Linked DNA regions of Danio rerio. The protein of the gene in region 1 interacts with the protein of each later gene in a biochemical or structural test. Links are inferred from orthologs where the notes say so. Each region holds a gene or a part of one and is shown in the gene's direction. Other genes may lie near its edges. The genes, in order: med1, hnf4a and vdrb.

Evidence for each region.
Region 2: the proteins of med1 (region 1) and hnf4a form a complex in vitro, tested with the Homo sapiens proteins (2 studies listed by BioGRID). The link is inferred for Danio rerio from reciprocal best matches to the Homo sapiens genes MED1 and HNF4A.
Region 3: the proteins of med1 (region 1) and vdrb form a complex in vitro, tested with the Homo sapiens proteins (5 studies listed by BioGRID). The link is inferred for Danio rerio from reciprocal best matches to the Homo sapiens genes MED1 and VDR.

The regions. Positions count from the first base shown.
Region 1 is NC_133187.1:16,863,523-16,867,190, forward strand, and holds part of med1 (mediator of RNA polymerase II transcription subunit 1), read left to right. Parts: intron 1-1,352; coding exon 1,353-1,485; intron 1,486-1,576; coding exon 1,577-1,605; intron 1,606-3,562; coding exon 3,563-3,634; intron 3,635-3,668. UniProt on the Homo sapiens protein: Component of the Mediator complex, a coactivator involved in the regulated transcription of nearly all RNA polymerase II-dependent genes.
Region 2 is NC_133198.1:28,803,714-28,806,210, forward strand, and holds part of hnf4a (hepatocyte nuclear factor 4-alpha), read left to right. Parts: intron 1-957; coding exon 958-1,113; intron 1,114-1,551; coding exon 1,552-1,639; intron 1,640-1,699; exon of another isoform or gene 1,700-1,725; coding exon 1,726-1,878; exon of another isoform or gene 1,879-1,892; intron 1,893-1,966; coding exon 1,967-2,203; intron 2,204-2,497. UniProt on the Homo sapiens protein: Transcriptional regulator which controls the expression of hepatic genes during the transition of endodermal cells to hepatic progenitor cells, facilitating the recruitment of RNA pol II to the promoters of target genes. Activates the transcription of CYP2C38.
Region 3 is NC_133181.1:41,513,256-41,516,923, reverse strand, and holds part of vdrb (vitamin D3 receptor B), read left to right. Parts: intron 1-2,950; coding exon 2,951-3,137; intron 3,138-3,668.

The DNA.
Region 1 (3,668 bases):
AAGAGGCCATATTTTTTACCTTTCCCCTTTCTCAACTCTCTGCTCTGCTCAAATTCTGTAGTGGCGTTCATTTAAATAAAAAATCGTACCTTTTTTATTTCAGTTTTAACATGGCTTAAAATAAGACGGAGGACTTATGCAGTTGATTTCTTCAGCACACTTTAGGGCTTCAGGTGCTGAAATTCAATATGAATTATTAGACATTCAAAACTTTTGTAATGAGATACATAAATTAAATAAGTAGATACTGCTCACCATAAAAGCTATTTTGTATTATTATTTACTTTTAAGACATTTAAATTGTCTTTGGAAGAACAATTATCATTTACAAAAAGAGCTGTTAGCATCTGCTGAGTCTTTGGACTATCTCCTTTAAGCGTTGTACTGTCAAAGGCAGGTTCTTTATAAGGGGATCTAAGGGTTGAAGCTCTTTTTGGAAAAAAGTACTAAATTTATTTTATTTAATATAAACTGACATTTAAGCATAATCAACTCTATTCAATCAAATTTTAATTAAGGTGTTTAAAGAGAAAACTGGATACATACAAACTGATACATCACTATTACAGTTGCATCAATTGCAATTAAAGGTGCTTGAATTTTATTTACTTATTTATTTTATTTTTTGGCGTGGTTTTGACTGGCATCACTCACTGAATGGTCAAATATTCTGAACAGCATTATAGGTGATGTATTTTTTTCCAAATAACTTAAAATCAAGTTTGATTAAAATTAACATTAGTTTTTTGTGCTTGCAGAACCAGTTGTTAACGTTATGTATAGTGAAGATTCTTTACACATTCTAAATTATAAAGTTGTGAACACAGTGGATTGTCACATGTGATCACATGAAATTCATGTGACTTTTCTGTAAGGGTGTTTATAGAACTCTGCATGTCAGTCTGTCAAGTGCTTTGCTAAATCAAATATATTAGTGCATTTACTTTGAACTGCTTTGTATATTGTAAAAAAGTGCCCCACACCTGAGCCCCAGAACGGTTGGATAGCTTTAACTATTTCATGTTACTATAAATTTGGTATTATGCACCATTTCTTTTTAAAGCATACAAATAAGAGGATTCTCTTATTCAGATATTTAAATTTGCACCTTTAAAAAGGAAGGCAGTTTTATAAGTCATTGAACGAAAATTGAGGCTTCATCAAAGTTCACATGATTTTCTGAAAGCAAAGCAATGCTCACTTAAGCTTTGGAAACCCATACCCATACATATTATACATACCTAGCATTTTTTCTACTTTATTCTACTTGATCTAACTGTAGTTTAGGACATACCTTTTAATAAGTTAATATATGTTTGTCTTTCTTTTCTTTTAATGATGTATGGCTGCAGGTTGGGATCTCACCTGAGTCCTTCACATACTGAATGCTATATCACCTCTGATATGTTCTACGTTGAGGTGCATATGGATAAAAGTGGAAAGCTCATGGATGTAAAAGTGGCCCACCATGGTGAAAATCCTGTGGTGAGAGGGAGATGTGGCTATTGTAAATATATCTATTTGATGTATTTTTTCTGTCCACTTACATTTGATTTTATTTCTTATTGTCATGTAGAGTTGTCCTGAGCTGATACAGCATTTACGGTAAGAAACCCATTTTAAAGAAAAGTAAAACTATGCAAAAGGGTGTATGCATTTCTGTTAATGGATAAATTGCTGTTTGGGACGACAAAACACTTTTAAGTGAATGTAATTGCTGTTGCCCTATCAAACACACTTCATACAACAAAATACTAACCTTAAAATTTCTAGGTTTTGATATCAAAACAATTTACTTATGATGGTCGACAGAATGTTGTGCATCATTTAAAAGATAAATAAAATATTTGCTGTATTGCATTACCGTTCACCTACTGACTTCTTCACAGTAAATATATATCTATATATATATATATATATATATATATATATATATATATTAGTGCTGTCAATCGATTTTAAAAAATTAACTAATTAACTAACTAAATGCGATTAATCGCATTTAAAAGACTGAAACTTGTAATTTTGGCTATTCAAATGTAAAATTTATGTAAACGCAAGACAAAAACTATTTAGATTCAAAATATAATTGTTTATTAGAATTTTTGTTTAACTTGTTTTCCCAGAGATGGGTTGCGGCTGGAAGGGCATCCGCTGCGTAAAAACTTGCTGGATAAGTTGGCGGTCCATTCCGCTGTGGTGACCCCGGATTAATAAAGGGACTAAGCCTACAAGAAAATGAATGAATATTTAACTTGTAACAAAGATTTCTTCATGTAAACAACATACCCACAATAAACCATCAAGATCCTGGCTTGACAGCCATATTTATTACAGAAATTAAAACGCAGGCATGTTAATGCCATTTGAATTTCAAAACAATCAATGCCAACAAAAAAACATTGATTTCCATGTTGGATTGTAAGTGGACTGCAAAAAAATGCCAAAATGCAGGCATTACATGTATGGAAATGTAAAATTATAATAATAAACTATTGAATACAAATATGACACAGACACACACACAACGAGCTGGAGCGATTCCCTTTAGATTCAACACGCATTGCGTTTATCAAATTTGCTTAAATTAAGCGTTCTAAAGTATTATTGTATTTTACAAGGATTCTGACACAACAACGTGAAGCATACGCTTTCGTTGCGTTTAATGAGGAAACATGCAATACTTGGAGGGCTCATGCTGAAAGGCAGAGTAATGGCCTGTCTTTGACAGCTTGTGACTTCACCAAAGACTTTCTGAGTACAGTTACATAAGACACCAATACTCCGATTTTAATATGACTAAGATTACACTCTTATTAAAAGTCTACAGTGTAGCCTAAGCAGCTATTTTATTACCTTAAAGGAATACTGAGTCACGAAATGCGGAAGATTTTCTTTCTGTTCGCCATGCGGTATCAACTTACAACAGAAGTCGAAAGTTAAAAATTAAACATCCGAAATTGCACGAAACTCTGGATAACCTGGTGATGAGACATTAATTGTTTTATACTGAAACTTGCCTTCAAAAAGTGCTTCCTTGGTCTTGTCCACATTTCTTGCATGTTAAACACACGTCCACCACAACAGGAAGTAAAAAAAACCTGCAACTGCGTTTTTTTAACGCGTTAATTATTTAAAATTAATCACATGCGTTAACGCACTAATTTTGACAGATTTATATATATATATATATATATATATATATAATGTATATGTGTGTGTGTGTGTGTGTGTGTATATATGTGTATATATATATATATATATATATATATATGTGTGTATATATATATATATATGTGTGTGTGTGTGTGTGTATATATATATATATATATATATATATGTGTGTCTGTATATATATATGTATATATATATATATATATATATATATATATATATATATATATATATATATATATATATATATATATATATATATATATATATGTGTATGTGTATATATATGTGTATATATGTGTGTGTGTGTGTGTGTGTTATTTAACTCCAACTGTAAAGTTGTTAATGTACGGTAACACAGCATTAAACATAAACATTTGTTTTACAGAGACAAGAATTTTGATGAGTTTTCCAAACACCTGAAGGGTCTGGTCAACCTGTACAATCTCCCTGGAGACAAGTATGGTGTCCATTTCTGTTTATTAAATCATAAA
Region 2 (2,497 bases), on another chromosome or scaffold:
CATTAAAACCTTTTTTTATTAAGGACTGCAAGTAAATAACTGTAACTGGGCAGCTGGTTACAAAAAATAAAACAATTTACTTATTTTTTCAGCCTTTCTTGTGAAACATTCATTTTGAAAATTCACAGATAACAATATTATATTTCAAAATTAGATATACTGTGTATGTGATTGTCCACACACGGGTGAATTAATCATTAAGTTATTGGAATTAAATTGAAAGATGCAATATACAAATGAAGGAACATGGTGATTAAAAAAAGAATACCACAACTTTGAAAATCGAGAACTCAACAATGAAGAAAATGAAAGCTTCTGTTGTTGATTTAAGGAAGCTCTGGAGTTTTATTAGGTTGCCTATTTGAATGAAAGGTACCCAAAGCAATAGATCGGCCGCCAGGCAGCCTGTGACAGAGCACTTCATCACTGGCCTCCAAGAAGCCCTGACCTCACCCCCTCAGTTTTTTTCAATAGGGTACGTTAAAAATATGGTTTACCACCTCTACTAGCTAACATTGAGGAACTAAAAGAAGAAATAACTGCAGCTATCCAATCTGTTATGCCCGAGATGCTAAAGAGAGTGTGGAATGAGTTCGAATAACAGGTTGATGTCACGAGTGTCTGAAGGGGGTCATATTGAACATCTATGAACTTGTTTTCTACTGAAAAAAAAAACGTTGTTAAGTACTCATCACATGGATTGATTATACGAAGTTCCATCATGTTTCTTTGATTAAATTTTCAAAGTTGTGGTATTCTTTTTGAATCTCCCCATTATTATTATATTCATTAAAGAAAGTAAAAATTTTGAGCAGCTGTGGTGGTCTCATAAATATGTTAGTGGTCTAATAATATTGTTATGCACTGTTTATAAGTAATAATAATAAGATTTAGTAGTAATGTTTATGTTTAAGAGATGTATAGCAAAATACTTATAAAGTATATACCCTCATATAGATTTCATCACCGGGTCCAATCTTGAATGGTGATATCAGAACAAAAAAGGTAGCCGCAATAATGGATGTGTGTGAGTCTATGAAACAGCAGCTGCTGGTGCTGGTGGAATGGGCAAAATACATCCCTGCATTCTGCGACCTCCCGCTGGATGATCAGGTAGGACAAGTTCCTCTTATTTATCTACAAATGTGTCCTTGCAATATTTACTTAAATGCATGTTGGTGTCGACTGAATCCGTGTTTTGTTTTCATTGGAAAAAAAGTTCAGAGATCTCTAGTTTGGGTGGTTAATGTATTTGGATGGCTCAGGTTAGAATATGATGAGCTGGTTTGAAAGTTACATCTCTTCTTGAGACATTCAGAATCATTAACACGCTGAGCACTGAGGCATGCTAACTTATCAGTGTTTTAGCTGTGGGTGAGAGCGTCTCAAACCGCATCTTCTCACACATGGAGACACGCTAAGACTAACCATATGGTCATCATAGAGACTTTAAACAATTCATTGATTTTATATGAAATATTCTAGACATGAAAAGAACTCTAAAGAAAATGTAAAAAAATAATAATATATTTCCATGTTTATTTGTCTCAGGTGGCTTTACTGCGAGCTCACGCTGGAGAACACCTCCTACTAGGAGCTGCCAAACGCTCCATGATGTATAAAGACATTTTACTATTAGGTAAGAAAAGACACATGCGAATATGAGTAGAGGCTTCAAACAATTTAACTAATGTTTTACCTTACATTTTTCCATGATTCTTGCAGGCAATGATCATATAATTCCTCGAAACTGCCCTGAATTGGAGGTGAGCCGTGTGGCTGTAAGAATCCTTGATGAGTTAGTACTTCCCTTCCAAGATCTCCAGATTGATGACAATGAATACGCCTGCTTAAAAGCCATTGTATTTTTCGATCCAGGTACATTAATCATCCTTAAAATGAGATAAGAAGAGCAGAATGTCAAGACTTTTTTTCCTAATGTGATGTTTTTTCTCAACTACTATAGACGCCAAAGGTTTAAGTGACCCAAGCAAGATCAAACGAATGCGGTATCAAGTTCAAGTTAGTTTGGAAGATTACATCAATGACCGACAGTATGACTCGCGGGGACGGTTCGGCGAGCTGCTTCTGCTGTTGCCGACACTACAGAGCATCACCTGGCAAATGATCGAGCAAATCCAGTTTGTTAAATTGTTTGGAATGGCGAAGATAGACAATCTGCTGCAAGAGATGCTTTTAGGAGGTAAATGACTTTTCTTGAAAAGACTTTGTTACAGCAATATGTTTAGAATTTAAGGCTCAATATGTAATTTTCCCCACTAGAGACTGTGGATTCACAAAAAACAAAGGCATAGTTTGATGATCTCCTGACAGTGTGAAATAATGGGAGTTTTCGTCTTCATTACACTCCTGTAGAAATTATGTTCATGGATGAGCTAAAGTATTTAAACTAATTTTCATGGTAGTGTGAAGCAGAGCAAGGCTGAATGTCGTTAAAGTGAAAGGAGACTGCTGAAACAACGTGGCAGAAAAGCTA
Region 3 (3,668 bases), on another chromosome or scaffold:
ATAAACTAGCGTAACTTTGTTAGTTGCAGCAGTTTTGTTCCATACTGAGACTAAGTCTGGAGAAGCTTTTAATTAATTAATCGTAACAAATTAAAGTACGGTTAATAGTGAAATCAGTTAATGGTTGCATCACTAAAAGATATATTCATATTTCTTATGTCTTGTTCAGTTTAATGTAATCATTGCTAGACAATTTAGTCACCAATAGTCTATTTTAGGTTATTTCTCTACACCAGTGCAATTTTTTTCCCCCTCTAAATTGGAAATGATGCAGTGTAAATTATCACCAGAAAATTTGATGAATAACCTACTGGTGAGCTTCCTTTTTATATATAATTTCTGATTAATTTTCTGACTGATGCTTATTTAAGGTAATGGTGAAAACGGAATAATACATTATTAAACGATAACTGCTGGTTTCATGAAAATGTGCCATTTGTTTCTCTTTGTAAATAAGAGATTTCTTCAGATGTGTTGACAGTCTTGTTTATTGTAATGAAGGCATTTGTGATGGTCAGGGGGTTTGTGTGAAGCTGCGGCTCAAGCAGTTTCAACTACCTGTGTAAACATGCAGGAAAGGCAACACTTCTTTAATGCAAGCTGCATATGATATATTAATAAAAGATTTAATTAAAAATCGCAATTCCAATATCAAATGATATAATCCACAGGTGTGATTATTGTGCAGACAATGTACATAATGCATTTTAATGGCAGCAAATGAAATGTACACCTTTTCAGTAGATTTTTTTAATAATTTAATATATATATATATATATATATATATATATATATATATATATATATATATATATATATATATATATATATATATATTTTTAAGCCAACATCCTGCAGCACAATTCATGCGAATGAGGCGCCGCATTAGCCAATCAGAAGCTTGCTCTTGTAGGAGCGTGATTATTAAGTAGTGCCAGTTGTTGATGTCCCAAGGGGAATTCCTCTTGCCCACACTACACAACAGCTCATCAAACCGGGCTCAGTTCAGTCGGAAGCACCGCTTAAAGCCTCCATCATTCTGGTATAGTTTCTGCAGAAGTTGATAAACTCACAGTGCTGAGTGCACCTCTGAAAGGATCTAGTGCACTCAGACACCACACTAAACGAATCTACATTTATGTGCTTTAGGAAGGCTGAAAAACGGTTACTATCGCAATAAAATCCATGTTAGTCGTTTAGCTACTGAACTAGGGTGAGCGGGCAGACAGAAGCCCTCCCCATGATGCAAATCTGCGTCTGTTGTGAAGTGAATTTGATGCACGAATGAAACAAGTTAACTCAAAATGTTTTCTTGTCTATTTACGTGCGATTAGTGCGATTTATTCACAAGTGCTGTGTCTGGTGTGAACACGGCATCAAAGTTTCTCTCTATAGTGGTTCAATTCTGCAGTGTCTCCACAAATCTCGTGTTTTTGACCTGTGGATTCTGGTCATCTCTATTCATAACTCAACATTGCATCTCTTACGATGTGACTATTGCGGACACACACATTGCGAAGTGGATGATTGAACAATGTATTGTGCAGCCATATATATATACTTGATTTGCCACTTGATTTCTGAGTTACTCTAGATTTGATTTGATTTTTAATTTTATTCTGTAAACTAAAGATATTTCTTCACAATTTAAAAAACATATTCTTGTTGAATCCCCCATTTTAAATGTTATCAGACAACAATTTTTATCTGGAGAGACTTTAAATAAAATATTTTTAAATCTAAAATTGTGCAATTATTATCAAAAGGAAACCTTAAAAACTGTTTTTGATTTTTATCTTATTATTATAATTATTATTTATGTATTTTACCTTGTATATTATTTATTGCTGTTGATGACTTTTAATTGTTAGAATGTTTTTATAATTTTAGAAAATCTGTAATTGTAAAATGTAGTAAACTTGATAGTTTTTTTTGCCATGACATAGCCATAAAAGCTGAAATGGCAATAAAATTATAACTCTCTCTCACAATTTTTAAATAATATATAATCTAGAGATATTTACATGCAATAACTAAAAAGACAAAACAACACCAATGTTTTAACTTCAAAGCAGTCAAGAAAGTTTTGTATGGTGGAATAAATCTGATTTACAAACACAACTATTTAAAACATTTAATGATGCATGCTTTTGGAAAATATTACCTTTTTTAACCCCAAATGTAAATGTTTACAAGACTATTACCTGATTTGATTTCCTCATGAACTTTAAAAATAGTTTTAACCTTATCGACTGACACTCTCTGCACACTTCTCTGATTTAAAACAAGATGCGTATGACTTATTAACAACAAAACCTAATTAAAATGGTTTAAATATGATGAATACACATATTAAAAATGGTTTCGAGTGATATACTCCAGAAGTATTGTGCAGACAAACTTCATAATGCATATTAATGACAGCAAATGAAATCTATACTTTTCTTCATTCTATTTACCTAATAATTGAATATAATAAATCCACTATTCTTCTGTATTATGTTAGTCTGTTGTCAGATGTTGGAAGGGACACAAGAGGGAGATAACACTTGCGTTAATCTGCAAACAGGACACAGTTATCAGCCCAGTATCTCGATATAGTCAGCCTGATGATTTTGTTCTTTGCCAGTGACTCTGCTCCCCCCCACCCCCTTGGCCTTCCAACGTTTCTGTCAGTCAGCACAAAATGTTTATTCTATTTATTTCATTTCAGTACAGTCATAGAGATATCACATTTCTGGTGATTTGTTGGCATCTGTTTGGAGTGTAAATCCTTTAGTCAACATTCAGAAAGCATTCAGACAAAAACAACACTACTACTCAGTAAAGTACAATTCCTGAGGAAAAAAATACTTGGTGGGAGTAATTTGAATATTTGTAATTAGTTACTACTTGACACAACATGAATTGTTGGTAATGTGTCTGTTTGTGTCTGTCTTTGCATACGTAGAGTCAGGCGATCGTAAGATGAATCTGAGTAACCTGCTGATGATGTACCAGGAGCAGGGCTTGAGCTCCAGTCCCGACTCAAAGGAGGAGGATGGCTCCAGTCTCTCCATGCTTCCTCATCTGGCCGACCTGGTTTCTTACAGCATTCAAAAAGTCATTGGCTTTGCCAAGATGATTCCTGGATTTAGGTAAAGTTTTGATTGCGTGATTGAGTGTGTCAGGGCAGTATTTTAGAAACTAAGACTTGGTTTCTTTTTGAGAAAATCAAGAGCTCGTTTTAATTGGAATTGAAGAAGAAGAGGGGCTTTATTTACTAAATTGCGATTTGAAGAGGCTAAACAGGTTCAATAAACACATATTTACATTAAGTGAAGTTTAATTTTAAACTAATTTCAAAAGGAGCATGTGCTCATGATTGACCCAGCTGGTCCACATTAGCTAATTATGATCCTCCAATCAAAGGATCCCAAATCACTATAAATATCCTCATTTCCTTTCTACAACTTATCATCGTCTGGAAGAAACCCCCCTCCTCCCCTTCTTCCTCCTTGATCCAGAATGGGCGGCACGGTGGCCCAGTGACTAGCACTGTTGCCTCACAGCAAGAATACCAATGGTGTAGGGTCCTCGCTGAGCCATCTGGTATTTCTGTATGGAGTTTGCATGTTCTCCCCGTGTCCGCGTGGGTTTCCCCCGGGTTCCCCAGTTTCCTCCCACCA